Linked DNA regions of Xenopus tropicalis. The protein of the gene in region 2 interacts with the protein of the main gene of each other region in a pairwise test. Links are inferred from orthologs where the notes say so. Each region holds a gene or a part of one and is shown on either strand. Other genes may lie near its edges.

Region 1 (4,537 bases), on a different chromosome or scaffold from region 2:
TGTACCCAAAACACACTCTAGCCAGCATCGGATTTCTCATTCCACACCCCCTCCACCCCCCTCAGGATCACGCATGCGGAAAGGATGCAGATTAAGTTTTCTGCGTGTCCTGTTCCCAGTGCTCCATATGTGAATAAATTTAGGTGCGGCGGGGCAGCATGCAGTCCCTAATTTTGTGCCGCCCTAGGCCCGGGCCCTTGCCACAAATCCGGGCCTGACTCTAGCACACATTGTGAAAGGACCTTCTTTAGTCCTTGTATCGGTTATTAGTTGTATTTTGTATGTAATCTGTATGTTCAGTTTATAACCCCTCCATTGTACAGCATTATGAAATATGTTGGTGCTTTCTAAATACTTCCTATTAATGACAAGTGCAGTATCAGCCATTTGGTCATAATTCAAAGAATTTCTATGCCAGAGAAAAAGAGCCAAAAGCTTACCACAACTGACCTTTCTGCTTGGCTTTCAGAAATGTCTAGGAAAGCGAATAGGCATTCTCCAGACTCTTTCAATATACTGGAACCATAATAAACAAGGGGTTATCCCCACTTCCCAAATGTCTAATAGAGATTCAGTGGTAGTGTTCATATGACTTTTTGTACAGATGTACAGCATATGCTTAAGTCAGATTGGATTAGAAGTATATAAAGCCAGTGGGAATAGTTCCATCTCAGTACCAGTACAAGTTATTGTCTATATAGTGCCACATTTTTATCCCTGGACACCGATGTCCCTTGATAATGGATAAAAACAAAACAAAACACATATAAGGCTTGATAGTTTTAATTATTTCAGAATTTTTTAAAGCTATTGAAAACACTCCATTGATTACATAGCATATTTTTATCCCCAAACCATACCGTGCAGCTTTGTATGTAATTATATATTAACCAGATTCCCATAATAAACAAACATATGTATTGAAACTTCTCAGATTAAATATCTCCTACACTAAAACAAATTTAAGGTGATGGTCTTTAATTGGTGAGAGACAAATGCAGACTACTCTGCACTCTTTGCTTTTGCCAATTTTGTATGCAGACAGTAATTCACTTTAATGTTAATTATTGTTAATTGAATAAAACCAATGCAATTAAACAACACAGAGAATATAGCAGATTAAGTATTTTCTACTTCAGTACAAACAAGGAAAAAAAATGTCCAGTATTTTTTCTGCTTGCTCTAAAGGGTTAATAGTTCTGAATTATACAGGGTCCATTATGAGCACTAATGTACGAAGGCTTAAGAAATACATTATGTTTTATCAGTGGACACACTGCAGAAAGAACTTAATCCAGAGTTAAATCCCCACTATATGCCTATCGCCTGTTTACAAACCGTAATTCTTCCCCTAATTCTTTGTTTTTCATGCCACTAATTATGGCTCGTGGTTTCTGACTAAAAAGAAAATATGAAGAAATACAAGGCACTTTAATTGCATTATAAAACATTTGCTCTGTTATGTTATCATTTGTGCTGCATTAACCAACTTTATAAAAACTAGGAAACAATGGGTTATACTTTAAGGCACATAATGTAATGGCTCTATTGAAAAAGAGTTAATAAGATTTGTGAATATTAGAGCCAATTGCCGTTGGATTCCTGCATTGCTACATGGCCGGCATATACAAGTGTAATTAAAAAAACGCTATATTTCTATATTCTGATCTGATTTCACATAATGTACTATAATGAGATACTAAGTCAGCAGCAGTAGACATGAGATTCACATTAACCACTGAACTATTCACCTCAACAAACTGGATTAACAGTTAAGGGTAAGCCTCTCTTTGGTACATAAGGAGTTGTCCTGGCAACCATTTTGATGCAGTCAATAATGGGGCAGACACTAAGGCACAGGGTGCAGCCAGTGCAGCTGTCGGTGACAGTAGTCAGGTGAGTCTCAGGATCAAACTCAATAGCCTGATGGGAAAAATAAAATAAAGGTCATTTTAATAAAGGTCTTTTAAAAAGCAAGCGTGAATGTCATTATTTATTCATTTCAGAAGTAATTGATAGAAGACATAGGAAAAACACTAAGCAGCAATTCTAAATTCAAAAAGTAATGTCACCAAGAAATTGAATAGTATATTGTCAGTCTCATAAAATGTCAGGGTTTCTTATAGTATTAATAGTGAATTGACTATACTATTCTGCTGTTACTAGAAAGTGGTTACTATAGATAGCACTGGGGTCATAGATTCTATTCCAACCAAGGATCTAGCTGCAATGTCCTCTGTGTGGATTTCCTTTAACACTCCAAAAACCTAGAGGCAGGTTACCTGGCTCTTGATAAAAACTGATCATATTGTGTCACTATGTCACTAAGGCTTTCAGAGGAAAAAGTAAGGGTCAGTTGTTTAGGTGGGTGTGGGTCCTCTGCCTCAAGCTGCTCACCATGTTGATTTCTGCAGGATCATATGCCAGATATGGCCAGGGACATGCAAGGCTATATGTAATCAACACTACACATACAATAAAGTTCTGTATTGCAAATATGCTTCTGTTAAAGAAGTCTAACATAATCTCTAATAAACAAAAGGAATTCTGGGAATGAATTCCAAACAAACTCTTAGAAAATCCCATTTAAATGGATTTATCCCAGAATTCCTTTTGTTTATTTGTATCTGTATATGGAAGTCTCCTCAACCCTAATGATTTGTTTGTTTAACATAATCCCTATGATTTGAAGGAATCTATGGCAGCACAATTCAAATAGGCAAGACCTTGCTTTTGTGTAAACACTGCCTCAAAAAGAACACCCACTTTCAAGCAAGAAATAAGGGTCAGATTAACATACTTTGAATATTAAATGATTCTAAAAGTCAACCCATATAAGAACATTACATAAAATGTAACATTAAGCTCATTTATTGGGGGTGGGGTAGTTAACCCAGAATTTTAGGTTCAGCACAGATAGGTAAAATCCAGTGTATTTTTACCTAGTTCCATTAATGCCAATATATGGTGTATTTTTACACATTAATAAACATGAGCTTCGGTCTGTTGTTAAACATTGATTTATTAAACCTATATGTTCTACAGTATATAGATGCAATTTTTTAAATGCATTTATCCTTTATAAAAGTGAACTTACCTGGTATCCAGAATCATTGCAGGTCATATAACATTTGCCACAGTTTATGCACATTTCCTCATCAATCAGGGCTACAACTTGTTCTTGTATGTTCAATTGACTGTAAGATCCAATATATTGCAAAGCTCTTCCAATAACATCCTAAACAGCAAAAATACAGTCAAATGGTAAAGGGCTTCCCCACTACTTATCAGTTGCTTCAGACACTTTAAATATATGGTATTTCATAAAATGCAATTGAAACAACACACTCTTTAAGAACAATTACATTTGTGTAGGCACATTTTAATCCTTAGAGAATGGTGTAACATCTATATTTGCATTCATCAGTTTAACTGAAAGAAGAACTTACCTCTTAAAAACTTAACTATTAATTATTTATTTTGTAGATGAGTTTAATAAAAGCACTCATGTCCACAATCTGTCCTCGAAAATGAATGTATACATCTATATGATGCATTAAGTGGAAATAGTGATGAGCGAATCTGTCCCATTTCGCCAGAAAATTCGCGAATCTTTCAAAACATTCGCGAAACGGCAAAAATGTCGCACGTCAAAAAAAATTGTCGCCCGCGACTATTATTTTGACGCGGGCGACAATTTTTGAACGTGCTGCGAATTTTTCCGCAGCAAATTTTTTCATCCGCTTTGCGAAACAATCCACCAATGGCGAAACGCAGAAATTCGCTGCGAATCCATGCCTGGCGAAACATTTCGCCCATCACTAAGTGGAAATTGTGAGATGGAACATTTTGGTCTATCTAGGTCTATGTAATATAAATTTATATTTTAGTCATTTCTTGTTTCCCCCCTTCACAAACTAGGGACTATAGTTGTTCACTATGGCAATAGTAAGGGTAAAATCTGGAGCAGGCATTGAACTTTAACAGTTTTCTTGAAAAACAAATGCTAGCACCAAAGTTAAAATATTAAACGTAATAGTTATATGGAAAGACATATGGTTGATAACAATGAGTGAAATTTAAGTTTCGCACAGAAGAACACTTATAAACTCCAATGGCTGCAAAAAAAAAAGTTGCGTGGTAAAAAATAAGACGCCCATTGACTTCAATGTATTTTGTAAATTTTTGCCATTTTGATAATTCTTCAACAAAGTGAAATTGGACAGATACACCCATTACTAATTGGTTGACAATTAAGATACTGAAAGGTTATATCAATTGGCCAATGACACTGCAGTCACCATATGGCAAATCTTGGTACTCTAGGGGGCACATTTACTAACCCACGAATCCGAATTGGAAAAATTCCGATTGGAAAACGAACATTTTGCAACTTTTTCGTATTTTTTGCGATTTCTTTTCGGCGCCTTTACAACTTTTCGGAAATTGTCGCGACTTTTTTGTTACCAATACGCTTTGCGCGAAAAAACGCGAGTTTTTCGTAGCCATTACGATGCGCTCGTATCTTGTCGCGACT
Region 2 (4,565 bases):
TCTGTAGAAGCCATAATTCTCCAATTTCAATGCATGCCCACACCATATTATCATTAATTTATGTTTCACTTACATATAATTATTCATTTATGCTTTACTTATAAATCCCAGAGCCCCAGTGGATCGTATAATCAAAGGTGCCTATCATATACAAACAGACTATGGTCCGAATACAAACTACTGCATATGTATAAGCCATCTTCCTTCAACTATGCCCTCCACTCTAAGTAAAAATAATAATTCCTTCTTTAATTTCGTTACCCTTTCCATACATACAAGCAGTCTTCCACACTTTTCCCTGCCTAATTCTTATGTATAAGCAATCCTTTTCCAATCTGCAGAACTACCACTTTTAGAGCCTAAGTAAGTTATAAATGCAGACACCTAGGGCATGGGTGAAAACTTGCATTACCGACCTTCCTACTTGCATTTGTAGGGTTAAATGCGTTCCCTGCAGTGTATACAAGGTTCCCTGTAAAACTGCACCTGGGTTCTGTGGCAAAAGAAGTGCTACAAATATGGCTAACATTGAGGCTGGAAGAAAGCTGTGAAAATTAAAGAACAGGCAGTGGAAATCCCCTTTGACAGCACCAAAAAAAAAAAAAAAAAAAAAGCTGCTGGAGAAAAAACTCCATCTTGACAGGAAGAGTACAGGAAAGGGTAGTCGAATGCCCACGTGAATCTAAGAAAAGCAGGGTGGCAGCACAAAAGCTCTAACTTGAAGTGAAGGGACAAAACCACCCCCTGATCCACTGCCTAAACCCAGGCAGTTACTATAGCAATTACTGTGAGTGCCAGCCCAGAGGAACTGCTTTAACAATCCTCTGAAAGGTCCTTAGTACCTGTTATTTAGGAGCAGTTATTTAGGAGCATTAGGACCCATTCTTAAAGGGAAAGGTAGCTACAATCATTTTATAAGAGTTCTTAGCATTGTACTCTACTTGCATAAATTAAACTTTGCATTCAGTTACCCATTTACAACATTGAAGAGGAGGTTGTTAGCTTGCACTACGACTGTCCCTAGCTGATAGTGGGTAAGCACAGAGTAATTTATCCCACCTTTGAAGACACTGCCAAATAGTGATTTTCCATCAAATCTTTGTGACATGATTGCCAGAAATATTACTACATTGTCTTTTTCTGTCATTCCTCTAGTTCTCCAGCTTTTTGGTTATAGCTACTTCAGTCCTCCCACTTTCTCACTGTATCTACTACAACCCTTTGAATTTCTCATATCTACTCCAACTTTCTCATTATAGCTACGACTTTACCCTCAACTTAATTATATCTAGTCTAACCCTTCAACTTTCTCATTGTATCTACTCCAATTCTCCAACTTTCTCATATCTATTCCAGCCCTTCAACTTTCTCATTTTTCAACATCTATTCCAATCCACCAACTTTCTTATTATATCTACCTCAGTCCAATCCTCCAACTTTCTCAATATATCTACTCCAACTTTCTGGGTAATTTGAACGCACCATTTTTTAAAAAAATATCTATTCCATTAAAGGGGTTGTTCACCTCGAAGTTAACTTTTAGTATGATGTAGAGAGTGCTATTCTGAGACAATTTGCAGCTGGTCTTAATTTTTTATTATTTGTGTTTTTTAGCAGTTCTCCAGTTTGGAATTTCAGAAACTATCTGGTTGCTAGGGTCCACATTTACTTAGCAACCAGGGAGTGGTTTAAATGAGATACTGATATATGATTAGGAGAGAACCAGGATAGAATTTTTTTTTCATAAAAAGTAGCAATAACAATAAAACTGTAGCTGCGACAAATCTCCGTTGTCGCGGGCGAATAATCTCCCTGCAATGCCATCCCACCGGCTAGAATGTAAATCGCTGGTGGGACGGCATATGCGACGCTGCGATTTGCCGAAGTCGCTGAAGTTTCCTCTCAAGGCAACTTTGGCAAATCCCAGCACCGCGTATGCCATCCCACCGGCAATTTACATTCTAGCCGGTGGGATGGCATTGCAGGGAGATTAGTCGCCCGCAACAAAAGAGATTTGTTGTGGCGCGACTGTGTGTCATGGCCCTTACAGAGCAACCTCCTAAATATATAACATATTTACTTGAACCTCATTATATCTACTCCACTTCTCCTGCTTAATCATTATATCTATTCCAACCCTTTAACTTTCTCATTATATCTATTCCAACCCTTTAACTTTCTCATTATATCTATTCCAACCCTTTAACTTTCTCATTATATCTACTCCAACCCTCCAACATTCTCATTATATCTCCTCCAACTTTTTAATATTATATTTACTCCAAACATCTTACTTGTTAATATTATATCTACTCCATCCCTTTAACTTTTTAATTATATCTTTTCCAGCTTTCTTGATATATCTTCTCCAATTCACCAGCTTTATCATTATACCTACTCCAGTTCCCCAACTTTTTTTTTATCATATCTATTTCTCAATAAATTTACTCCGACTTTCTCATTATAGCTTCTCCTATCCTCCATCTCTCTCATTATATCTAATCCAATATTTCAATACCAGTTTTCCTAATTCCTTTAGACTTAAATGCAATCCCACCACTCTGTACACCTAATCTTCTATGCTCTGCATCCTCCTCCATCTCTCCTGTGTACTCCATCAGCCAACTAACTACTATGTAGCCTAGCTTTCTTTTCATGCATTCCAAGCCCTATGTCTTTCCAATATTAATTCGTTATTTCCCTCTTTCTCCATTTGACCGATTTCTCATATTTCCATATTACGCAGCAACCCCATTCTCTCCCCAACAGAATTTGGGTTTCACATATCCACTCACTACGCGTACCTCCAGTTTATGGTTGATCTGGCTGACAGTCTGTGCTTTGTGACAAAGTTGTGCGAAACAAGAGCTTAGGGTGGTCATCTTCTGTCGACCCTCATATGTGATATCTGCCTGGTCCGGGTCTATCTCCCCTAGCAACAAGTCAACATCCACAAAGGCCTTATCAAACTCTTTCTCCAGCACTTCAAGCCAGCGAAACATCGACATGCCGGGAACAGGCCCGGAGGCAGAGGTCGAGCACGGAGCTGCAGACATTGCGGAGCAGACGTATAACCGACAGACAGGAAGAAAAAGGGAGAATGTCACTTGATTACTCCACTCTCTGATTGGCTGGCCTGGCGAGGCAAGACTCTCCTCCGATTGGCTAAGCCATGGGAACGTCACGAAAACCTCACCTATCTGGTCATCCAAATACGCCGATTTGTTAGATACAGTACACGTGACATCTAAAACGCTTCCTATTGAGAGGGGGATTAAACGATACTGGGTGTTTACATTTCGCGCACCTAGAGACAGTATATATAGACACGTACGTTCCTCCATAAATTCCAGATCGAGTCTCAATAACTAATGTTAGACTGCTTTTATTGTGTTTGGCAGGAATTTGTGATTTGGAACTATGAATTTGCCACAAACAGAAGCGCGTATAGGCGGTCAACTTTTCTTGCCTGCCACAACTGACGGCAGCAGGCAGAACCAAGCGATGCTAGAAAGTAATGGTAATTGAGCAGCGGCAGTCACGTGAACTGGTTGTTGTTACTGATTGCTTGGGAATTGCTAGTTTGGCCTTCCGGTAGAACGTAGAGTGCAATTGTCCGTGTGTTTTTAAGCACAAGTGTAGATGATGTTTTGAACCCGGGTTCAAAGGGTTTAAGTTCTATTATGCGAGCTGTTCCAAAACGTTTTTACTGTGTAAGGCTTATTTCTTTTTATCATCCCCATTCTATTGTTATACTGAAAGCATTTTCAAATCCTGCAATGCAAATCCACTTAAAAGAAAATCTAATTTGGACAAATGTCCAAACGTACTTTCATTAAACACTATTATTTGTAAAGTGAACTGCAACTGAAAGCAGCATTTGTCACCTGCTGTACATTTTCAATTGGGTCCCAATGGCTTCCCATTACACAACATCCAGGTGTAATCCTTTCAGTGGGTCAATCCTGTGCGGTGTTGCGCTCTATTTTCCACGTTTGGCGAATTCACGGACTGTCCTGTTTGTGCTGATCAAATAAAATAACCTAAAAAGTGAACACAAATTAACTGCATATGACAGACAATAATACAATGTTTGTGTAATCGTGACTCTACACAAACCAAATTTATAGCAGATTAAATACAGTACTTCATTTTTAATGCCTCCGGAAAACAAGACTATGCAAAAGATAATGTCCGACATCTGTCGAGCTGTAGTCTAAATTAAATATTAAAGTGATACTGACAGCCAATTAATTTTTTTTTTTACACCTGCTGTTGTGTTTTAATTTGTATCGGCTTTAAATTCCTTATAAAAGTTTTTTGCACGAATTACAGACCCACGGAGCAGCCATGTTTGTTCCCCTCTTCCAGGTTTTAATTTAAATGCCTCCCAAGTAAATAAATATGCCCAATCACAGACCTGCAACGCCCCTTCTGCTTTCAGCCAGTGTGTGACCAGCTCAGCTCCGTTGTCTATGGGGCTGATTTACAAAGACACGAATTCGAATCCGAATTGGAAAAATTCCAATTGGAAAACGAACATTTTGCGGCTTTTTCGTATTTTT
Region 3 (4,125 bases), on a different chromosome or scaffold from region 2:
CTGGACCACCCTCTAGAGCCTCCTGAACCATACATCTTAGGACCCCCCAATTCCTCTTGGCTGCCAAATGGCACCACTTCAGGTCCCCTTCTCTGTCAACTGCTGATACCACATATACATCCGGGGGCCACTTCGGCTTTAACTGTGTGATTGCCAAGGGCAGGACCTGAGTGGTGGCCACCAACTCTACAGCTTGGGAGGGCCCAGTTACTACTAAGGTTTCATTCTCCTGCCCCGGTAGCCCTCACTTGGTGGCTTGGCCTCTCCTGACTAGATTGGTCGTCCCATGGATGGCTTTCTAGACACAATGCTGAATTTCCACGTGAATAAAAAGCTCAGGGTTAGTTTGCCTTTAGCAACATTAGATAAGAGAAGGGCCAGTTGCTTTGGAACCAGGACCCATGTACAACCCATGTCATTAGTCCTCTCCTATAAACTGTTAATCAGTCAGTTATCAGGCACAGGCTGATAGAAGCCAGATGCGGGGGTGGGGAGGGGGGGTTATTTATCTGCCCCACTTGTGCTTGGTGATATCCAAGTGACAGTCTCTGGGGCACTTTAACTAATCAGTCCCGGCAGCGGGTCAAGAGGCGCTGTCACATTCTGACTATATCGGTACTGGGACAGATAACACCCCGTGCCCCGAACGTGTCGCAGACGGAAATAAGATCCCCCCCCCCACTCAGCCGGGACACTTCACTGGGCCACAGTCACATTGTGGTTTTTGTAAAGGGGATATAAACCCAAAGAAAAAAATGTTTGCGATTGGAAGGGTATCAAGGGCACAGCACGAATATCCACAGAGATAAAGGGCAATTAGAGATAAATTATACAGGTATAGGACCTGTTATCCAGAATGCTCGGGACAAAGGGTATTCCAGATAAGGGGTCTTTCCGTGATTTGGATCTCCATAACTTAGGTCTACTAAAGAATCAATAAAACATTAATTAAACTCTATGGGATTGTTTTACATCCAATAAGGATTATTTTTATCTTAGTTGGGATCAAGTACAGGTACTGTTTTATTATTACAGAGAAAAGGGAATCATTTAACCATGAAATAAACCCAATAGGGCTGTTCTGCCCCAATAAGGGGTAATTATATCTTAGTTGGGATCAAGTACAGGTACTGTTTTATTATTACAGAGAAAAGGGAATCATTTAACCATTAAATAAACCCAATAGGGCTGTTCTGCCCCCAATAAGGGGTAATTATATCTTAGTTGGGATCAAGTACAGGTACTGTTTTATTATTACAGAGAAAAGGGAATCATTTAACCATTAAATAAACCCAATAGGGCTGTTCTGCCCCCAATAAGGGGTAATTATATCTTAGTTGGGATCAAGTACAGGTACTGTTTTATTATTACAGAGAAAAAGTAAATCTGTTTTAAAATTCTGAATTATTTGATTAAAATGGAGTCTATGGGAGACGGGCTTTCTGGATAACGGGTTTCTGGATAAGGGATCCCATAGTAGTCTTGTTTCCTTCAGCCGACAGTATCATTGTAACTTGCCCTTTATACCTGAAACTAAAAGAGGAATTATGTAAATACAATAAACCCACAATATATACTTTCCTGGCTACACATATATAAATATATCTCTTTCCTTGTGTCTGTTCCCCCGTGCCGCTCGCCAGTTGTTGGGTTTAACGCGTGTCACAGCCACTTTCCAGAAATTGCCGTCACAGCACATAAAAGAAATAAATGAGTGGAAAGTTGGGAGAGCGGGAGTCTGGCATCATCTGTGTAATATTTCATTGGGACAGGGCGTATGGATATGTGCTTAACCCCCCCCCCCCGGGGCTCTGTTTCATTGGGTTGGGGTCCACTGGTTGTGTAAATAATGACTGTGCCTGTTGTTTAACTACAACTCTACAACCCGCGACATCCAAAACAACTGAAAGGCTGTAGTGTGAATTGTATCTACTCCACCATTGTCTCCATCTTGTCCTACTTCCTGCACCTGTCTCTACTGTCTCCACCTTGTCCTACTGTCTCCACCTTGTCCTACTGTCTCCATCTTGCCCTACTGTCTCCATCTTGCCCTACTGTCTCCATCTTGTCCTACTGTCTCCATCTTGCCCTACTGTCTCCATCTTGCCCTACTGCCTGCACCTGTCTCTACTGTCTCCACCTTGTCCTACTGTCTCCACCTTGTCCTACTGTCTCCATCTTGCCCTACTGTCTCCATCTTGTCCTACTGTCTCCATCTTGTCCTACTGTCTCCATCTTGTCCTACTGTCTCCATCTTGCCCTACTGCCTCCATCTTGCCCTACTGTCTCCATCTTGCCCTACTGTCTCCATCTTGTCCTACTGTCTCCATCTTGCCCTACTGTCTCCACCTTGTCCTACTGTCTCCATCTTGCCCTACTGCCTCCATCTTGCCCTACTGCCTCCATCTTGCCCTACTGCCTCCATCTTGCCCTACTGTCTCCATCTTGTTCTACCGTCTCCTTCTTGCCCCACTGTCTCTCTCTTTCCCTACTGCCTCCATCTTGTCCTACTGTCTCCATCTTGCCCCACTGTCTCCTTCTTGCCCCACTGTCTCTCTCTTTCCCTACTGCCTCCATCTTGTCCTACTGTCTCCATCTTGCCCTACTGCCTGCACCTGTCTCTGTCTCCACCTGTCTCTACTGTCTCCATCTTGTCCTACTGTCTCCACCTTGCCCTACTGTCTCCATCTTGCCCTACTGTCTCCATCTTGCCCTACTGTCTCCATCTTGCCCTACTGCCTCCATCTTGCCTTCTTGCCCTACTGCCTCTATCTTGCCCTACTGCCTCCATCTTGTCCTACTGTCTCCATCTTGCCCTACTGTCTCCTTCTTGCCCCACTGTCTCCCTCTTTCCCTACTGCCTCCATCTTGCCCTACTGTCCCATCTTATCTCTACTGTCTCCATCTTGTCCTACTGTCTCCATCTTGCCCTACTGTCTCCATCTTGTCCAACTATCGCCATCTTGTCCTAATGTCTCCATTTTGCCCTACTGTCTCCATCTTTCCCTACTTTCTCCCTCTTGCCCTACTGTCTCCATCTTGCCCTACTGTCTCCATCTTGCCCTGCTGTCTCCATCTTGCCCTACTGTCTCCATCTTGCCCTACTGTCTCCATCTTGCCCTACTGTCTTGCCCTACCATACCTGCAGTTCCTCCTTTTAGGTGGCTACAGGGCCCTGAACGTTTGGCTTTCCTACATATATAAATATATATTGACAATATCCCTCTATTTTTCTCAGTTTAGAGGGACAGTCCCAAATCTTGGAATTTCCCATTTAAATAGAGTTGAAATGAATTTTCCAGGCATCTTCTCAGTGTTTTGTCCGGTGACAGTAACCGGTAATAACATCTCTCTCTTTCTTTGACTCATGTAGGAAATCAGATGAACTTCTCCAAATCTGTGGATGCCTTTGCCTTTGAAGAGGACAGCAGCAATGATGCCTTGTCTCCAGCAAAGGAGCCGAGCGAGAACCCCCAGGTGCTCAACCAATCTCTCCAGGAGACCAAAGATTTGGAGCCCCTCAACTCCCTTCACTCAGGTCTAACACAGGTAAGATCTGTAAGGCCTATCCACTGTAAGCAGCAGTCCTGCCCTGCTTTATGGCTGAGATTCTAGCTATCTGTATAACAGAGCATTCTGTCACAGTGGCACAGATCCTATCTGATCCCCCCCATTGTAAGCAGCAGTCCTGCCCTGCTTTATGGCTGAGATTCTAGCTATCTGTATAACAGAGCATTCTGTCGCAGTGGCACAGATCCTATCTGATCCCCCCCCCCCCCCCCATTGTAAGCAGCAGTCCTGCCCTGCTTTATGGCTGAGATTCTAGCTATCTGTATAACAGAGCATTCTGTCACAGTGGCACAGATCCTATCTGATCCCCCCATTGTAAGCAGCAGTCCTGCCCTGCTTTATGGCTGAGATTCTAGCTATCTGTATAACAGAGCATTCTGTCACAGTGGCACAGATCCTATCTGATCCCCCCATTGTAAGCAGCAGTCCTGCCCTGCTTTATGGCTGAGATTCTAGCTATCTGTATAACAGAGCATTCTGTCACAGTGGCACAGATCCTATCTGATCCCCCCATTGTAAGCAGCAGTCCTGTCCTGCTTTATGGCTGAGATTCTA
Region 4 (4,552 bases), about 68 Mb from region 2:
TAGGATATCTATTAGGTGCTGAGACAACCTTATACAACCTCTCATAAAGCTACACAACACTTCATGGATCAGCAGGGAATGGGTTAAGGGATCTGGAATCATTTCCCAGGGTCCCCCATGTAATGTACACTCCACGCACACTGGGGATCCTGGGGTTAAATTCACCATGTGCTCTCGACACACTTCTACCCATGAATCATAGGGAGGTCACAGGGGACGGCGGCAGCCAATGACAGGCAGAGCATCTGACAGCTCAGAACCCAAGAACCAAATTCAAAAATGCAGAGTGTGAGCAGCTCGGGGAGAGGGGCTGGGAGGGGCCCTGGGTCCCCAGTGTTGTATGTAGGGGGGTTACTAAAGGGCACCCCATAGTATGTGTAGGCTAAACAGGCAGGGTACATAGAAACTGCACCCTAATACTGTACAATGTAGGTGGGGGGGCGGCAGTACAGGGGGCAGCGGGGAGTACAGGGGGCAGTACAGTGGGCAGAGGGCAGTACAGGGGGCAGTTCAGTGGGCAGTACAGAGGGCAGGGGGCAGCGGGGAGTACAGTGGGCAGAGGGCAGTACAGTGGGCAGAGGGCAGTACAGGGGGCAGTACAGAGGGAAGCGGGCAGTACAGAGGGCAGCGGGCAGTACAGGGGGCAGTACAGAGGGAAGCGGGCAGTACAGAGGGCAGCGGGCAGTACAGGGGGCAGTACAGAGGGCAGCGGGCAGCACAGCGGGCAGAGGGCAGTGGGCAGTACAGCGGGCAGAGGGCAGTACAGGGGGCAGCGGGCAGTACAGTGGGCAGTACAGGGGGCAGTACAGTGGGCAGTACAGGGGGCAGTACAGTGGGCAGTACAGGGGGCAGTACAGGGGGCAGTACAGGGGGCAGTACAGTGGGCAGTACAGTGGGCAGTACAGGGGGCAGTACAGTGGGCAGTACAGGGGGCAGTACAGCGGGCAGTACAGCGGGCAGTACAGGGGGCAGTACAGCGGGCAGTACAGCGGGCAGTACAGTGGGCAGTACAGTGGGCAGTACAGCGGGCAGTACAGGGGGCAGTACAGTTGGCAGTACAGGGGGCAGTACAGGGGGCAGTACAGGGGGCAGTACAGGGGGCAGTACAGTGGGCAGTACAGGGGGCAGTACAGTGGGCAGTACAGTGGGCAGTACAGTGGGCAGTACAGTGGGCAGTACAGGGGGCAGTACAGTGGGCAGTACAGCGGGCAGTACAGTGGGCAGTACAGGGGGCAGTAACACAAGATAAAGCAGACACAGGCATGTAATACAGAGGACAAAGGCAGGAATGTTCTGGGAGTGGGGAGGGAATACACAGGGAGAGGCAGAGATTACAGAAGGGGGGGGGCAAATGGGAAGGGAGAGTGACCCTCACCTGCAGGATGGAGGTAGATAAGGTGCTGCTGGGGTAACCCTCAGGCTGGGCTGGGGAGCTGCTGCTGCCACGGGAGGAGCTGTCGAAATTCCCTGGATAATCCTGGTACATGATCTGAGCTCTGAACTCACAGGGTGGGAGGCTGCCGGGGTCCAATCTTCAAAAAACACATACGGAAAGGCAATCAGACACTGGCACCCAATGTGTGCCCATATACCCACTGTACCCTGTGCCCATATACCCTCTGTACCCTGTGCCCATATACCCTCTGTACCCTGTGCCCATATACCCTCTGTACTGTGTGCCCATATACCCTCTATACTGTGTGCCCATATACCCTCTGTACCCTGTGCCCATATACCCTCTGTACCCTGTGCCCATATACCCTCTGTACTGTGTGCCCATATACCCTCTGTACTGTGTGCCCATATACCCTCTATACTGTGTGCCCATATACCCTCTGTACCCTGTGCCCATATACCCTCTGTACTGTGTGCCCATATACCCTCTGTACCCTGTGCCCATATACCCTCTGTACTGTGTGCCCATATACCCTCTGTACTGTGTGCCCATATACCCTCTGTACCCTGTGCCCATATACCCTCTGTACTGTGTGCCCATATACCCTCTGTACCCTGTGCCCATATACCCTGTGTACTCTGTGCCCATATACCCTCTATACTGTGTGCCCATATACCCTCTATACTGTGTGCCCACATACCCTCTGTACCCTGTGCCCATATACCCTCTGTACCCTGTGCCCATATACCCGCTGTACCCTGTGCCCATATACCCTCTGTACCCTGTGCCCATATACCCTCTATACTGTGTGCCCATATACCCTCTATACCGTGTGCCCATATACCCTCTGTACCCTGTGCCCATATACCCTCTATACTGTGTGCCCATATACCCTCTGTACCCTGTGCCCATATACCCTCTATACTGTGTGCCCATATACCCTCTATACCGTGTGCCCATATACCCTCTATACTGTGTGCCCATATACCCTCTATACTGTGTGCCCATATACCCACTATACTGTGTGCCCATATACCCTCTATACTGTGTGCCCATATACCCTCTGTACTGTGTGCCCATATACCCTCTATACTGTGTGCCATATACCCTCTATACTGTGTGCCCATATACCCAATGTACTGTGTGCCCATATACCCACTATACTGTGTGTCATATACCCTCTATACCCTCTCATATACCCACAATTTACCCATATACCCAGTGCAATGTGTGCGACTGTGCCCCCATACCCACTGTGCCTCCATACTCACTGTGCCCCCATACCCACTGTGCCTCCATACTCACTGTGCCCCCATACTCACTGTGCCCCCATACCCACTGTGCCCCCATACTCACTGTGCCCCCATACCCACTGTGCCTCCATACTCACTGTGCCCCCATACCCACTGTGCCCCCATACCCACTGTGCCTCCATACTCACTGTGCCCCCATACCCACTGTGCCTCCATACTCACTGTGCCCCCATACTCACTGTGCCCCCATACTCACTGTGCCCCCATACCCACTGTGCCCCCATACCCACTGTGCCCCCATACCCACTGTGCCCCCATACCCACTGTGCCATGTCTCCATATCCTACATTGGGACACTTCTCCATATAATTGCTTTCTGTCGGATCACCCCCCCACGCCGTATACCCGCTGATCCATAAGACATATACCCGCTGATACCCTGGCAAGAGATGCCCCCACCTTGTTAATCCAACTCAGCGGGCGCCCAGTGGGGCGAATAGATATAAAGTGCCAGGCCCGGCCCTGTAATCCAATGGGTGCTGTCAGTGCGATCTCTCTCCCATAGGGTGCTGGGTGCGCTGCCGGCTGTGCTGCCGATCCAAGTGTCCTGCCCCAGGTACTCTTAGTTATCCCGATTGTACAGCGCTAGGTACTCTTAGTTATCCCGATTGTACAGCGCTAGGTACTCTTAGTTATCCCGATTGTACAGCGCTAGGTACTCTTAGTTATTCCGATTGTACAGCGCTAGGTACTCTTAGTTATCCCGATTGTACAGCGCTAGGTACTCTTAGTTATCCCGATTGTACAGCGCTAGGTACTCTTAGTTATTCCGATTGTACAGCGCTAGGTACTCTTAGTTATTCCGATTGTACAGCGCTAGGTACTCTTAGTTATCCCGATTGTACAGCGCTAGGTACTCTTAGTTATTCCGATTGTACAGCGCTAGGTACTCTTAGTTATTCCGATTGTACAGCGCTAGGTACTCTTAGTTATTCCGATTGTACAGCGCTAGGTACTCTTAGTTATTCCGATTGTACAGCGCTAGGTACTCTTAGTTATTCCGATTGTACAGCGCTAGGTACACTTAGTTATTCCGATTGTACAGCGCTAGGTACACTTAGTTATTCCGATTGTACAGCGCTAGGTACTCTTAGTTATTCCGATTGTACAGCGCTAGGTACTCTTAGTTATTCCGATTGTACAGCGCTAGGTACTCTTAGTTATTCCGATTGTACAGCGCTAGGTACACTGCAGGCTGTGCTGCTATTCCATGTGTCCTGCACTAGTTGCACTCCCAGCTGTACGGCACAGGGCACACTGCCGGCTCCTCTGATCCCCCCGGCTGGGCTGGAAGTCGCACTTCTGACTGGGCAGATCTGTCAGTACGGCACAGGGCACACTGTACAGCGCCGATGACACTGCCGCTGGAGCTGCGCTGGGTGAGTCAGACCGGAGTCACTCTGATCACTGACTGAGCTACCAGCGCTCCCAATGCGACTCAGGCTCCTCCCCCGGGGCGTGGCCGCCCTTGTTTCCTGCGGAGAGTGGGGCAGTACCAGGCCGGGGGGGGTGTTACCCTGCGCTCTCACCTCTTTCTTCCACTTGCCCCGACCTGCCCGCTCAGCTCTGCCCCCCCCGCACTATTGGACTATCCCAGCTGTTGGCTCCCCTGCCAAGCGCTTGGTTCGCTCCATTGACGCAAGTAGCAGCCATATATGGGCAGTGACGCAAGCGGGTTCCCTTGGTTGGAGTGACGTGTGCGGGAGGGATTCCCTGGCTGGCTCGGAGCACCTGCTGGGCTTGGGAAGGTGGGGGCTCCGTACTACGGGCCATTGTAGCGCTTAGTATTGAGGCTTCAAATGGGCCTTTGGCAATACATGGTGGGTAGGGGAATACAGTGAGT
Region 5 (3,208 bases), on a different chromosome or scaffold from region 2:
GAATGACACTAAACTTGCATGAGCTACCCAGGAGGCCGGCTCAGAGCTAAAGACCCAGGTACCCAGGAGGCTGGCTCAGAGCTAAAGACCCATGTGCCCAGGAGGCTGGCTCAGAGCTAAAGACCCAGGTACCCAGGAGGCTGGCTCAGAGCTAAAGACCCAGGTACCCAGGAGGCTGGCTCAGAGCTAAAGACCCATGTTCCCAGGAGGCTGGCTCAGAGCTAAAGACCCAGGTACCCAGGAGGCTGGCTCAGAGCTAAAGACCCAGGTACCCAGGAGGCTGGCTCAGAGCTAAAGACCCAGGTACCCAGGAGGCTGGCTCAGAGCTAAAGGCCCAGGTGCCCAGGAGGCTGGCTCAGAGCTAAAGGCCCAGGTACCCAGGAGGCTGGCTCAGAGCTAAAGGCCCAGGTACCCAGGAGGCTGGCTCAGAGCTAAAGGCCCAGGTGCCCAGGAGGCTGGCTCAGAGCTAAAGGCCCAGGTACCCAGGAGGCTGGCTCAGAGCTAAAGGCCCATGTGCCCAGGAGGATGGTTCAGAGCTAAAGACCCAGGTGCCCAGGAGGCTGGCTCAGAGCTAAAGGCCCAGGTACCCAGGAGGCTGGCTCAGAGCTAAAGACCCAGGTGCCCAGGAGGCTGGCTCAGAGCTAAAGACCTAGGTGCACAGAAAGCATCTTTGGAGCTAAGGAGCCTCAACTGAAAGAAAGTGAAATTGGCCACATTCAAGCTACTTATCCAATGAGTGATTCGAAGTTTGATAGAGCCTGAAAACAATTGCAATCATGGCTCAGTTAGAAAAACATTTACTCTATAAATTCAAAGTGCAGAAAATACATTACACATTTTTTGTAGCACCAATTTTTGTGTCAACAACTATGGCAACACATTGCTTCCCTGCTGTGCCACTTAGGCAACTTACTGCTTAAAATGACAGCCAAAGCAAAGCAGTCTCTCTGCCAACCAGAGTCCTAATAAAAATTTTTTGCATTGCAATACGAGGTCACATGTCTCTGTGATTATTAACCCTAACTTCTCATTGTCACAGCTCATCATGCGATGCAGGGTGTAGCACTGGGTGCGAATCTCCCCTTGTGTCCTTCAGGGTCTTCTGCGACCCGCTCCAGTCTGTTCTTACATTATCGTTGTCCCAAAGGGTGGAGGTTTCCGTATCACTCTGCCAGCTGGTCTCCCCAGTGTAATGAGTTGGGTAAACGAGAAGGGGATGAACAGAAAACACACGCAGGTTTCTGTTCACAAAGTGTTGCTTGTACTCCTTACTGAGGGTACAGAACAGAGAAGGGGTGGGGTAAACAGGTCAGGATAATATAGATACACACACACAAATAGCTCTTTATAATGTAAGGGTAATGAACTGGGCTAAACATGGCAACCTGAGCTCTTCAGAGGATACCTACTTGGGATGTGTGTCAGACATGATTGGCAGAAACTCATCCACTGGGAGCATTTTGGAGAGCGGTTCTGCGTTCAGCAGCTTCTGGGCACCCTGCAAGGAGATGATGTAGCACAAGGTCCAATAGGAGTAATCGGCAACCACTAAGTGCGGCACGTTTTCCACTGGCTGTTCTGGGTCCAAGGTCACTTGCTTCCTCCCTATGTAACTAAAGAAAGGAGAAACCTGTCACAGTGATTTATAAGGCTAAGAACCCACACAGTGGTTCAGTCAATCAGGACTAACCTCTGTGAAATGGTTTTCCACTGGCAACAATAGGAGTCACCGATGGAAAGCCCTTTGCATTGCTCTGGTATTCAGTTTCCTCCTGCAGGCAACTTTGCGCAAAGAAGCAATGCTAAGGGCTTTCCACCGCTGACTTCTATTGTTAGTGAAAGTGCCCGTGATCAGTATATCCAACATAAAATAATCTGTCCATGTAACCTTGCACCACTTGACCACTGGTGCCACCATCACCACTTTCCAAGATTGGTGCCTAATTTGTATTTTGGCCACCATCTTCAGGGTTTTATGAGTCTACTGGCCCATATAACTGCTGATCAGATGGTCATGTTTTCCATGGTTTGTGATGTCCTACTGGACTACATTGGCTACATTTTCCAAGATGATGTATCTACTGGCTCACATAAGTGAAGTCATAGGTGCAATGCCCAAAACTAACTATTAACCATACATTTCTTGGCAACAAATATTCTGTACGAGAGAGGTTTCCATTCTGTAGTCCCACAGTGAGCCATGAATGGCATTTGATCCCTGTTTATTTTTCTGAATAAGAACTAAACCCATTGTATTCTACAGAGCTTATCTGTTTTTCTTTCTTGCGCATCTGAAGGTAAGTGAAGGCATTTTTTTTGTGTGTTTTGTTGCCCACAGTAGCACAGATTTACCATGTGCCAGTACCCATAAGCTCTTGCATTGTGATCACTACACCCTTACATCAAATCCCAGTCCAGCTCTGCACTGCGAATATCCCCCATAAGGCGAATCATCTTCCGCTTGAAGAATGGTTGGAAACGCACATCATCCTCAAAAACGACTGCTGTATCCAGCTGCCGCTCTGTGATCTAGGGGTGAAAAACCAATCACGTTAAAATAAACAGCAATACTTTAAATGACCAGTCTGTAAGAGGGGGCGCTTGTTTTTTGTCAACCTGCACCAACCCTAAACCGCCCTCTCCCAACCCAACAAGGCACCTGTTTTTATAGACTCACGCTCAATCTGCCCATTTTTGATGTCACAAAGGTGGCAGGGCTGGCAGGGGTGTGTCTATAAATAGAGGCTGCCAAAGCCGGGCATAGTAAGGTTGCGGCCCTAACCCAAGGGTCCCCCAGGTTTCAGACTGGCACACACATCACTAGCGAGGTTGCCAAATAAGCGGATCTTTTGTTATGGGCGTGACTTAGCAGCCAATGTCTGTCCTTGCCTGAACAATACAAGTCAACTGCAGCTTTCAGAAACACGTTCTTCCCAACCACATAAAGCACAAAGTACAAACCCAAGTCAAGAGGGGACAGTGTTTTCAAATTCCTTGAAGGGGCATTGTTTTACCTCTTTCCAGATCTGGAAATGGCTAAGGAAGCAGCCAACTTCCCCCTTGGTAAGTGTTCGGCCCGAGAACGGGTCATAGTATCCAGGGAGCAGGTTGACACCCAGGTGCTTTATGTCACTGCTGTTCATGGCACTAGGACAGATCAAAGAAGAGTTTACAGGGCAATTAAAGAGTAAGAAAATATACAACCTGG
Region 6 (4,732 bases), about 54 Mb from region 2:
AGGCAAAATGAGGTTAGAGGGGGGGCAGTAACTCAGGGATACAGTGTTTAGTAAGCAGGGCCGGATTTCCCAATTGGCCGAACTGAGGCCGCCCCCGGTTGCATGCCCCCCCCCCCCGAGTGCGCATGTGTGCAGAGGGAGGCGGGGTTTGCGCGCTCACGCGAACAGCGGGTGAGGGGTGCGCGCATGCGCTGTAGGCCAAATCATGCATACGGAGCAGTGGGGAGAAGTCCCCAAGGTTTCTGCCGCCCTAGGCCTGGGCCTTTGTGGCCTTTCCACAAATCCGGGCCTGTTAGTAAGGCAAGATGAGGTTAGGGGAGGGGGCAGTAACTCAGGGATACAGTGTTTAGTAAGGCAACATGAGGTTAGGGGAGGGGGCAGTAACTCATGGATACAGTGTTTAGTAAGGCAACATGAGGTTAGGGGAGGGGGCAGTAAGGCAAAATGAGGTTAGGGGAGGGGGCAGTAAGGCAAAATGAGGTTAGGGGAAGGACTGTAACTGTAACTGTAGTAAGGCAAGATGAGATTTGGGGAGGGAACATTACCTGTGGGATAGAGTGTTTAGTAAGTCGAGAAGATGGTATTGGGGAAGGGGCTGTAACTGTAGGGACGGTGTGTAGAGTACAGCAGGTTGGGGTAACTACTCTTTATACTGGCCAGTGGGATAACTATAGGGGCAGCAGTCCCTGGTAAGAACCCACTGTTCCTCCATCTAACCTGCATCTTTGAAGGCAGAATGGGGATTGCAAAGGGGTGCCCCAAAATATTTGTTCAATTGGTCAATTGCCCCAGAACCACCAATAGGGAAACCCACCCTTGCCAATTAACACTTAAAGTGACACATATTCCACACAGATTATTTCTCTTTAACCTAAAGGGCAGTTTGGCCACCACAGTGCACTCTGGGTGTTTAAAACTTCTCCTTTGCATCTTTCATATCTTTCTGTTCTAATGCATGGGAAACATTTGTGTATGATAAATGAAGGGTGACGCCTAAGGAACACAGATATTAGTGTGTAAAAGTGGCCCCTCTCTGGTTTTAGCATGTTTTGATCACCTTCCTTTTTGCTGGAACCAGTCAGATCTCCCGATGTGGCACAGACATTAGGCAAATGTAGCACAGTCCCCGCTGACTGCCCCATGGCTCCCTTTGACTTCTATGGGAAATGCACTGATATGATGAGTCTACAGTGGGAGAATGTGGATAACACAGACCAAGCTACGGTTATAAAATCCCACCCAATTACTGTTTATAAGTAAGAATAACATGATATATTGTATAAAAGTATAAAGGGTAAGCATAAAAAAACTGTTCTGTAATTAAATATCTCTAAGCAAAATCCCCCGCAGGTGTCCAGATGAGCCCCCAGTGCTAAGTATGTGAGGCTGGCAGAGTTTCATGCACTTGTCCAACAGTTGCTTTGCTTACACTGCCCTATTATAGCATATTAATGCCTTCATATCAGAGCAGGGCAATGTACAATGAACCTACCTTCATAATAACCTCCCTAATGAACCACTGACCCTAATGAACCTGGCATCATTACAGGGTAGGCCAGAGCCTGGCATTCCTTATGCCCCTATATAAAACAATGGCCATGGGCAGCTGGCAGTGGCTAAGTGCCTGGCATTAGATGTCTATTGGAGCACTTTTCAGGGAACATGGTGCTGATCATGGGCAGACAATGGTTCTATTGTCCCAGTGGATGTGAGTGGCACTGGCAGGGGACAGTAGTGTCAGCTCCTGATTGCTAGGAAACCAACCACACAGCTCCCTGGCACTGAAACCATGGCAATAAGGAGCTTGCCAGTAATCTCCTTCCTAGAGGCAAACAGGCACCCCCCCCCCCCCAGATGGGGGGCTTTAACTCCACCATAGTGATGTGACTATGCTCCATGTACGTTAGAAAGTCCAACTTACCCGCATAGTGGTCAAACACAGTGGGCACATACTCCTCCGGGAAGGCATCATTGGCATAGCTCATAAGGAGGCAAGTTTTGCCCACTGCCCCATCTCCCACCACCACGCATTTCAGCATGCTATTCCCTGTCCCATTCGCCATGATAACAGGAGGCTCATCTCCCCGGCATGCTGTGGGCGGCAGACTGCTGGGGGGGACTGGGCACCGCAGCGCATCTCCCCTCCTTCTCCCACAGTCAGTGAGTGAGCGACTCGGCCGAGTCCGGGAGGGATACAGCCTGTACAGTCAGCGACTGTCTCCTCCGAGTCTGGAAGTGATAACAAAGTGACTCCTTCAGCAGTGATGCAACTGATCCGACTCCTCCAGCAGCGACACAATGTCACAAAGTAGCGCAGTGATACTATGTAAGCGACCCCTCCGGCAGTGATACTATGTAGGCGACCCCTCCGGCAGTGATACTATGTAGGCGACCCCTCCGGCAGTGATACTATGTAGGCGACCCCTCCGACAGTGATACTATGTAGGCGACCCCTCTGACAGTGATACTATGTAGGCGACCCCTCCGGCAGTGATACTATGTAGGCGACCCCTCCGGCAGTGATACTATGTAGGCGACCCCTCCGACAGTGATACTATGTAGGCGACCCCTCTGACAGTGATACTATGTAGGCGACCCCTCCGACAGTGATACTATGTAGGCGACCCCTCCGGCAGTGATACTATGTAGGCGACCCCTCCGACAGTGATACTATGTAGGCGACCCCTCCGGCAGTGATATTATGTAGGCGACCCCTCCGGCAGTGATACTATGTAGGCGACCCTTCCGGTAGTGATACTATGTAGGCGACCCCTCCGGCAGTGATACTATGTAGGCGACCCCTCCGGCAGTGATACTATGTAGGCGACCCCTCCGGCAGTGATACTATGTAGGCGACCCCTCCGCAGTTATACAATGGAAGAGACCCCTCCAGGAGTAATGCACCGTCTCAAAGTGGCTCCTCCAGCAGTCAGACTACTGAAAAGACCCCCTCCAGCAGCGATTCCACTAAAGAGACCCCCCTAGCAGCGCTACTAAGCAAAAGACCCCTTTCCCAGCGATACAATGTAGAAAGAAACCCTTCCCAGCACTGATACAACGTTCCTTGGAAGTGGAAAGCGGAACCTGGGGTCACAGCACTGCCGGCTGCCAGTCCCGACTCAGCACTCCTGGGGAGCTGCTCATATCTGCAATGACATCTGATTTCCTCTTAAAATGTACAGATTTCAAAACTGTTAAGTTCTTCCCTCCCCCCAACTTCAGAGGGCACATCACTTTCCGGCTGTGCAGTCTCAGCCTAGCTTGGCTGGGGGGGTAGGGATGAGAGAGGCTGCTAATGATGGGAGGCTAAGGGAGCGTCTCCAAAGAGCTTGATTCCAAACATAAGGAAGAGTCTTATAAGGGTTCTGCCTGTCCCCTCCCTTGCACTCAGCTCAGGGGCACAACATACCCAGTGGCTGCAATGAAAAATGAAAAGTCACATTAAACATGTATTTTCCCAGTCATGATTAAATGATATAGATGTGAGAAAATTAGTTGAAGAGAGGAGTTCAGGGGATTTAAGGGGTTAAGAGTACAAGTAGAACCCCTGGGTGGCCAAGATTTAGTGAACTCTATCCAAGGACTGTTATATATATATTTATATATAGTTTATTGAGAGTGGGCCCTTGATGTCTGGCTCTTTGGCCCTATTGTCCTCTTGGCAGTTGCAACAGCTGCAGGGCTGAAAGTTGGACATGCATGATTTATTTTATTTACTTGATATCAGAATCAGACAGGTTTCCTGCATTGCCAGGGGCACCGAGGCCCCATTTTCACTAACCACAACCCTGGCAGAAGGTTTACATTTAAATATATAATGGGAAGACATTTTGAGAATGACAAGGAAGAGGAACACTGATGATATGGCAAGCGATTTAGTTGCAGATTACTTAGTACCAAGGCCTTTGAACAAGGTCAAGAAGCTTTAGAACCACACCAGTACCCACTGTCTGGAAGGGTTAGAGCAGGGATCCCCAACCTTTTATACCTGTGAGCCACATTTAAATGGAAAATGTTTTGGAGAGTAACACAAGCATGAAAAAAGTTTCTGGAGTTGCCAATGAGAGCTTGGTACTTGGTAGCCCCTATGTGGACTGGAAGCCTACAGAAGGCTCTGTTTGGCAATTACACTGGGTCTTATGCAATCAAAGCTTGCCTACTAACCAGAAATCCAAAAATAAGCACCTACTTTGAGGCCACTGGGAGCAACATCCAAGGGGGTTGGGGAGCAACATGTTGCTCACGAACCATTGGTTGGGGACCACTGGATTACGGTGACCATACACATATTGATTGGTTCCCCCCCGACCTAGTTGGTAGCTTATGGGCCCATGTATAGTGACCACTGACCATGCTGCTGGACTGATTGGGTAGGTCTAAAAATCACAACAGATGAGGCCCATGTTGGTACATTGATGTGGCCATTGTCCACTGCATAATCTGATCCTTGGTCCCAGGGTCAACAGTCGGATCAGCCTGGTTTGGTCCAGTGCCTGGGTGGTCAAATTGGACTCCACTCATTTGGTGCCCACCCCTTGCCAACTTTAGTGACACACTGAGAGGCAGGAACAGTGTTGGACTGGCCCACCAGAATACCAGGAAAACTCCCGGGGGGCCCAGGGGTCAGTGGGCTCTCCTGCTCCTGACCATTTGGCCTATTTCATGGTACAGTATTTCAAGAATGGGAAGAAAGAGAAGAAATAGATGTAAGAATAGATGCTACCATGTAAAT
Region 7 (4,795 bases), on a different chromosome or scaffold from region 2:
CCTTTTCTCTGATAATTTAAATTTAAAAACGTCTGACCAAAGTGGTCCATGACTGTCAGCGCCTGCTCTGTCTCTCCATGCTCACCCCACAAGCTCTCACAGCATCCTACAAATTGTACTCTCACCCCCCAGCTCTCTTACTCTAATGGTGTACCCGAGTCTCTCCACGCTACCCGCTTAGAGGCTGCTACGTCTCTCCCCTATGTGTCGAGTGATTAGAGAATTTCTGCCACAGTGTGAGGGTTCCGGTTAACCGTGTACTCCCTCTGTATGCGTGCTGTGAAGTTACATTCTGATTATAACAAGGAAGAAGATGAATACAGCCAAGCGATGGGGCTCGATTACTCCTCATGTCGAGACAATCGGGATACTTTTTCGCATTCCCCCTCAGAGATATACAGCGACTTGGGACGTGTGCTAGTAACACTCACGGGCCGACTTACTACCTGCCGACCGTTTGGCCAGAACCGGGCTCACGGGAGAAAAACGTCGCTCGTCGGGCCACACGTAAAACTCTCTCTGTGTGCTCGAATGTGGTTTATATATTCTTCAACTGTCATATTCTGTCTATCTGCCCGCCGGGCACTACTTGCCCGCACAATATTGATCCAATATCTTGCACTCTAGACTTCAACCGTGTCTCTTTATTCATTGGGCCAGAGGAGCCATGTGACCCTATTAATGTAAACCATTCCGTGTTGTCTCCTTGTTTTGGGTCTGAGAGGAAGAACCGTGAATCGCAGAGTAAGATACTCCTGGGTACACCGCCTCTTGAATTGTCTCAGTGGCTCCTCTACTCAACTGGTGAACTTGCCCCTATGCATGTCGCGAAAGCCGCCAGGGCGTCACATATGATGGAGCAGGCAAACAGGTTCGTGGGCAAATAGGAGGTTAAGGACAGAGAGTTATGGTTAGAGGAGTTAAACTGTTGGGGATGCGCCTATAATGGGTACTAAGCGGTGGGCATCGCGTATGAGTAGTGTTACTACTAGGGGGGTATAAGTATACGGGCTACAGCTCGGCCCCCGCCTAGAGCTGAGTAATCAGGAGGGGTATTATCGTGGTGGTACAGTCTGGACTGGCACGTATGAAGGGTTTATAAGGAAGGGTTATATGGGTACATGCGAGCTAAACGAGTGGATATGTAATGGTGTTGTGAAGGTGTAGTGAAGGAGTGTACAAGCGTGAGTCTCATTTTTGGGCAAGTGAAGTTATATATTCTAGGCGGGGTGGGTCATAGGGTATCGCCGCCCGGTCTTATGGTGGTTTGCGCGGCAATAGAGTTATATAGGCCATGGGTCCGGTATCCATAAGTACTTTTGGGCGGAATTGGGAGTTGACTCATTGGTGGGAGAGGGTATGGGTATTATTTCGGAAAGAAGGCCATAGTAGTATCATAGGTGAAGGGCTCTTATGGGGTACTATTGGCGCGCGCTTAATAGAGTTCTAGCACTATGGTGCAGGAGTAGCTCTGGAGGTATATGCGCCTCGATCGTACTTTGTGGTCTCGGGGCTGGATATAGTTGTTATAATTTGGGAGGGGTGGGTATATGGTGATCTTATATAGTGTGGGGCAAATAGAGTTACTACTAGATAGAGGTAGCGTATAGGAAAGGATGGTATATTAGCAAGCAGTGCGGAGTAATAACTAGTGGAAGGACAATAGTGGCTAGGGTACAGGTGATGGATTCTGGCCATTTGATGGGCACTTTTGGGGTTGCTCAGTCCCGTCAGGTGTGGCGTTTTCTGTGTCCGGCTTGCTAGCCGCCCCCGAGAAGGCCGAGTACATTCCCGACAACCAGGAGCCCAGAACCCAAACCTGTCGCCACTAATGGCCTCAATGAAAGAGGTTCCGGATCCTCCCACGGAACCAAAGCTTCGCACATAGAGAAACCGGACGTGTCCCCCGTCGGGATCCCCGGAACCCCTTCCAACAAGCCGGTGTCCATTTCCAACACGGACCCGTCGCCCCCCTCTCGGGCCGTTCCCAACAGTTTCTCTTCAGATCCGCCCAGGGGATCCAGCAGGATCTCTCCTTCCCTCCCGGCCCCCGGCACAAAGCAAGGCAAGGAGCCCCCACCTGTAACCTCCCGTTACACCTCCACTATCCAACCCAAAGTTAGACTGCCTCTGTCTTCTAAAGAGACGCCCCCCACCACAAAAGCGACCGCACCTTTCCCAGACAAAGAGACATCCTCTCTATCCCCCGTAGACTCATGCCCTGTTTCCGCTAAAGAGACATCTCCTGTGGCGTCACGGACCTCCAGTAACATTGACTCTAAAATACAGATGTTTTTATCGAAGGATAAAACCAGCGCCAAAGAACCTCCTTATCTTGGGGTGTCGGTTCTAGACTCCAAGAACAAGAGCGTTCCACCAAAAGGCCCCGGAGACATCATCCAAAAAGAGCCACTTGGACGGACCCCGCGGGAACCCACCCAGGAGTTTATAAGAGATTCCCCATCTGATGGTTTCACAAAAGAGACGTCTTCCAAAAAGTTGCCTTCTGTAATGAACAGAGAGACCTCGTTCTTGTCGGCACGGGAGCGGATAATGGGGCCCACTATAAAGTCGCCTTACGGTTCTGCTAAGACTTTAGGGAACCCGGCTTCTCTGTATGAAATGTCTAAAGAGACCCGTTCAGATGTCCCTTCTAGACAGATATCGAACGTGACCCTCAGCGAGAGCTTGAAGCCAAAAGAGACCGCAGAATTTAGTTCTACGCAGTCTTTTCCCAAATCTAGAGAATCTCAATCTAGACTCCATGGTACTACAAGCAGCACCCTGTTGGGATCGAGCACCCAGCAGCACCCAGATACCCCACAGCGTACAGCCGAGACCTCGCCAGATGGTGGGGAGGTAAAACGCCAGAAGACCGCCTCCAGTACCATCACCCTGAAGTCTGTCAAGATAGAAACCCAACCCAAGTCTGAGATAAGTCATGGTGGGACCAGGCACAACCAGCAGTCACTTCCCTTGGGCCGGGAGGGGTCTCATTCACACCCGGGGTTGTCGGACACAAAAGAAACCTTGAGCAGAAGCCTTGGAACTGCCCCCGGCTTCGACCTGAGTCCCTCAAGCCAAGAGGTGCCGGAGGGCAGCGAAGTGATATTCAGGTGCAAAGGTATCTGTTTCACTGTAAAGGGGAAATATTCCTTGTATTAAAGGCAGAGTGTATTTTAATAAACATCCCCGGGTGCAGAGTTCTTCTCCTCTCTACTTCCTCCTCTTGGGCTGCTCTCTTCCCAGTGGTCGGATGGGGAGGGACCAAACTGAGAAGCAAGTTGTCATTGGGGTTTATAGCAGCTTGATGTTGCTGTGGCCACTAGAGGGTGCTCTTGCTTCACAGCACTTTTGTACATTGTTTTCCCTGATTACTATCAATCAGACCAATGGGAACCTTTCATCCATGTCCAAGCCCCGCCCCCCTGCCTGACCGTGGCAAGAGAGCAGCCCAGATGGAACATATGTATTGTATCAGATCTCTGTATATAGTAAAGTACTGGGAGAGACTGGGTTCATAGTGGCATAAATACAAAACCCAAAACTGTAGGAATCCGTTTGCTCTTGTGTGTGTTTTTTGAACCAGTAAGTAAAGAGAAAATTCTATAATATTATGTTTGTAGAATTTATTGGCCAAACTGAATAAAATGAATAAGCAGGAATCTCAGCCATAAAGCAGGGCAGGACTGCTGCTTACAATGGGGGGGGGGATCAGATAGGATCTGTGCCACTGTGACAGAATGCTCTGTTATACAGATAGCTAGAATCTCAGCCATAAAGCAGGGCAGGACTGCTGCTTACAATGGGGGGGATCAGATAGGATCTGTGCCACTGTGACAGAATGCTCTGTTATACAGATAGCTAGAATCTCAGCCATAAAGCAGGGCAGGACTGCTGCTTACAATGGGGGGGATAGGATCTGTGCCACTGTGACAGAATGCTCTGTTATACAGATAGCTAGAATCTCAGCCATAAAGCAGGGCAGGACTGCTGCTTACAATGGGGGGGATCAGATAGGATCTGTGCCACTGTGACAGAATGCTCTGTTATACAGATAGCTAGAATCTCAGCCATAAAGCAGGGCAGGGACTGCTGCTTACAATGGGGGAATCAGATAGGATCTGTGCCACTGTGACAGAATGCTCTGTTATACAGATAGCTAGAATCTCAGCCATAAAGCAGGGCAGGACTGCTGCTTACAATGGGGGGATCAGATAGGATCTGTGCCACTGTGACAGAATGCTCTGTTATACAGATAGCTAGAATCTCAGCCATAAAGCAGGGCAGGACTGCTGCTTACAATGGGGGGATCAGATAGGATCTGTGCCACTGTGACAGAATGCTCTGTTATACAGATAGCTAGAATCTCAGCCATAAAGCAGGGCAGGACTGCTGCTTACAATGGGGGGATCAGATAGGATCTGTGCCACTGTGACAGAATGCTCTGTTATACAGATAGCTAGAATCTCAGCCATAAAGCAGGGCAGGACTGCTGCTTACAATGGGGGGATCAGATAGGATCTGTGCCACTGTGACAGAATGCTCTGTTATACAGATAGCTAGAATCTCAGCCATAAAGCAGGGCAGGACTGCTGCTTACAATGGGGGGATCAGATAGGATCTGTGCCACTGTGACAGAATGCTCTGTTATACAGATAGCTAGAATCTCAGCCATAAAGGGTCCCTGCAGTTCTACCTGTGCAGCAGCACTTGGGGGGTTAATACTGGCAGCGCTGGGTTTGGATCAGATTCAGTACTGTAGGTGCCCGGGGGTTCAATATTCGGCAGGTCT

Evidence for each region.
Region 1: the proteins of gopc (region 2) and dpyd interact in a two-hybrid assay, tested with the Homo sapiens proteins (2 studies listed by BioGRID and IntAct). The link is inferred for Xenopus tropicalis from reciprocal best matches to the Homo sapiens genes GOPC and DPYD.
Region 3: the proteins of gopc (region 2) and myocd interact in binary tests that used the Homo sapiens proteins (3 or more experiments, as listed by UniProt). The two-hybrid records come from large-scale screens. The link is inferred for Xenopus tropicalis from reciprocal best matches to the Homo sapiens genes GOPC and MYOCD.
Region 4: the proteins of gopc (region 2) and fosl2 interact in a two-hybrid assay, tested with the Homo sapiens proteins (2 studies listed by BioGRID and IntAct). The two-hybrid records come from large-scale screens. The link is inferred for Xenopus tropicalis from reciprocal best matches to the Homo sapiens genes GOPC and FOSL2.
Region 5: the proteins of gopc (region 2) and cercam interact in a two-hybrid assay, tested with the Homo sapiens proteins (2 studies listed by BioGRID and IntAct). The two-hybrid records come from large-scale screens. The link is inferred for Xenopus tropicalis from reciprocal best matches to the Homo sapiens genes GOPC and CERCAM.
Region 6: the proteins of gopc (region 2) and rhoq interact in a two-hybrid assay, tested with the Homo sapiens proteins (2 studies listed by BioGRID). The link is inferred for Xenopus tropicalis from reciprocal best matches to the Homo sapiens genes GOPC and RHOQ.
Region 7: the proteins of gopc (region 2) and mylk interact in binary tests that used the Homo sapiens proteins (3 or more experiments, as listed by UniProt). The two-hybrid records come from large-scale screens. The link is inferred for Xenopus tropicalis from reciprocal best matches to the Homo sapiens genes GOPC and MYLK.

What each region holds. Positions count from the first base shown.
Region 1 is NC_030680.2:102,292,941-102,297,477, forward strand, and holds the end of dpyd (dihydropyrimidine dehydrogenase [NADP(+)]), read right to left. Parts: intron 3,239-4,537; coding exon 3,098-3,238; intron 1,924-3,097; coding exon 1,753-1,923; 3' UTR 768-1,752; downstream 1-767.
Region 2 is NC_030681.2:74,163,488-74,168,052, reverse strand, and holds the start of gopc (Golgi-associated PDZ and coiled-coil motif-containing protein), read right to left. Parts: upstream 3,161-4,565; 5' UTR 3,057-3,160; coding exon 2,805-3,056; intron 1-2,804.
Region 3 is NC_030686.2:47,016,666-47,020,790, reverse strand, and holds part of myocd (myocardin), read left to right. Parts: intron 1-1,426; exon of another isoform or gene 1,427-1,533; intron 1,534-3,373; coding exon 3,374-3,549; intron 3,550-4,125. UniProt on the Homo sapiens protein: Smooth muscle cells (SM) and cardiac muscle cells-specific transcriptional factor which uses the canonical single or multiple CArG boxes DNA sequence. Acts as a cofactor of serum response factor (SRF) with the potential to modulate SRF-target genes.
Region 4 is NC_030681.2:5,731,232-5,735,783, reverse strand, and holds the start of fosl2 (fos-related antigen 2), read right to left. Parts: upstream 3,301-4,552; 5' UTR 3,109-3,300; intron 1,533-3,108; 5' UTR 1,487-1,532; coding exon 1,376-1,486; intron 1-1,375.
Region 5 is NC_030684.2:25,849,274-25,852,481, reverse strand, and holds the end of cercam (inactive glycosyltransferase 25 family member 3), read right to left. Parts: intron 3,148-3,208; coding exon 3,015-3,147; intron 2,530-3,014; coding exon 2,402-2,529; intron 1,614-2,401; coding exon 1,410-1,613; intron 1,272-1,409; coding exon 1,034-1,271; 3' UTR 782-1,033; downstream 1-781. UniProt on the Homo sapiens protein: Probable cell adhesion protein involved in leukocyte transmigration across the blood-brain barrier. Does not express any beta-galactosyltransferase activity in vitro.
Region 6 is NC_030681.2:19,933,392-19,938,123, reverse strand, and holds the start of rhoq (rho-related GTP-binding protein RhoQ), read right to left. Parts: upstream 3,280-4,732; 5' UTR 2,064-3,279; coding exon 1,922-2,063; intron 1-1,921. UniProt on the Homo sapiens protein: Plasma membrane-associated small GTPase which cycles between an active GTP-bound and an inactive GDP-bound state. In active state binds to a variety of effector proteins to regulate cellular responses. Involved in epithelial cell polarization processes.
Region 7 is NC_030685.2:88,421,334-88,426,128, forward strand, and holds the start of mylk (myosin light chain kinase, smooth muscle), read left to right. Parts: upstream 1-1,774; 5' UTR 1,775-2,289; coding exon 2,290-3,124; intron 3,125-4,795. UniProt on the Homo sapiens protein: Calcium/calmodulin-dependent myosin light chain kinase implicated in smooth muscle contraction via phosphorylation of myosin light chains (MLC). Also regulates actin-myosin interaction through a non-kinase activity.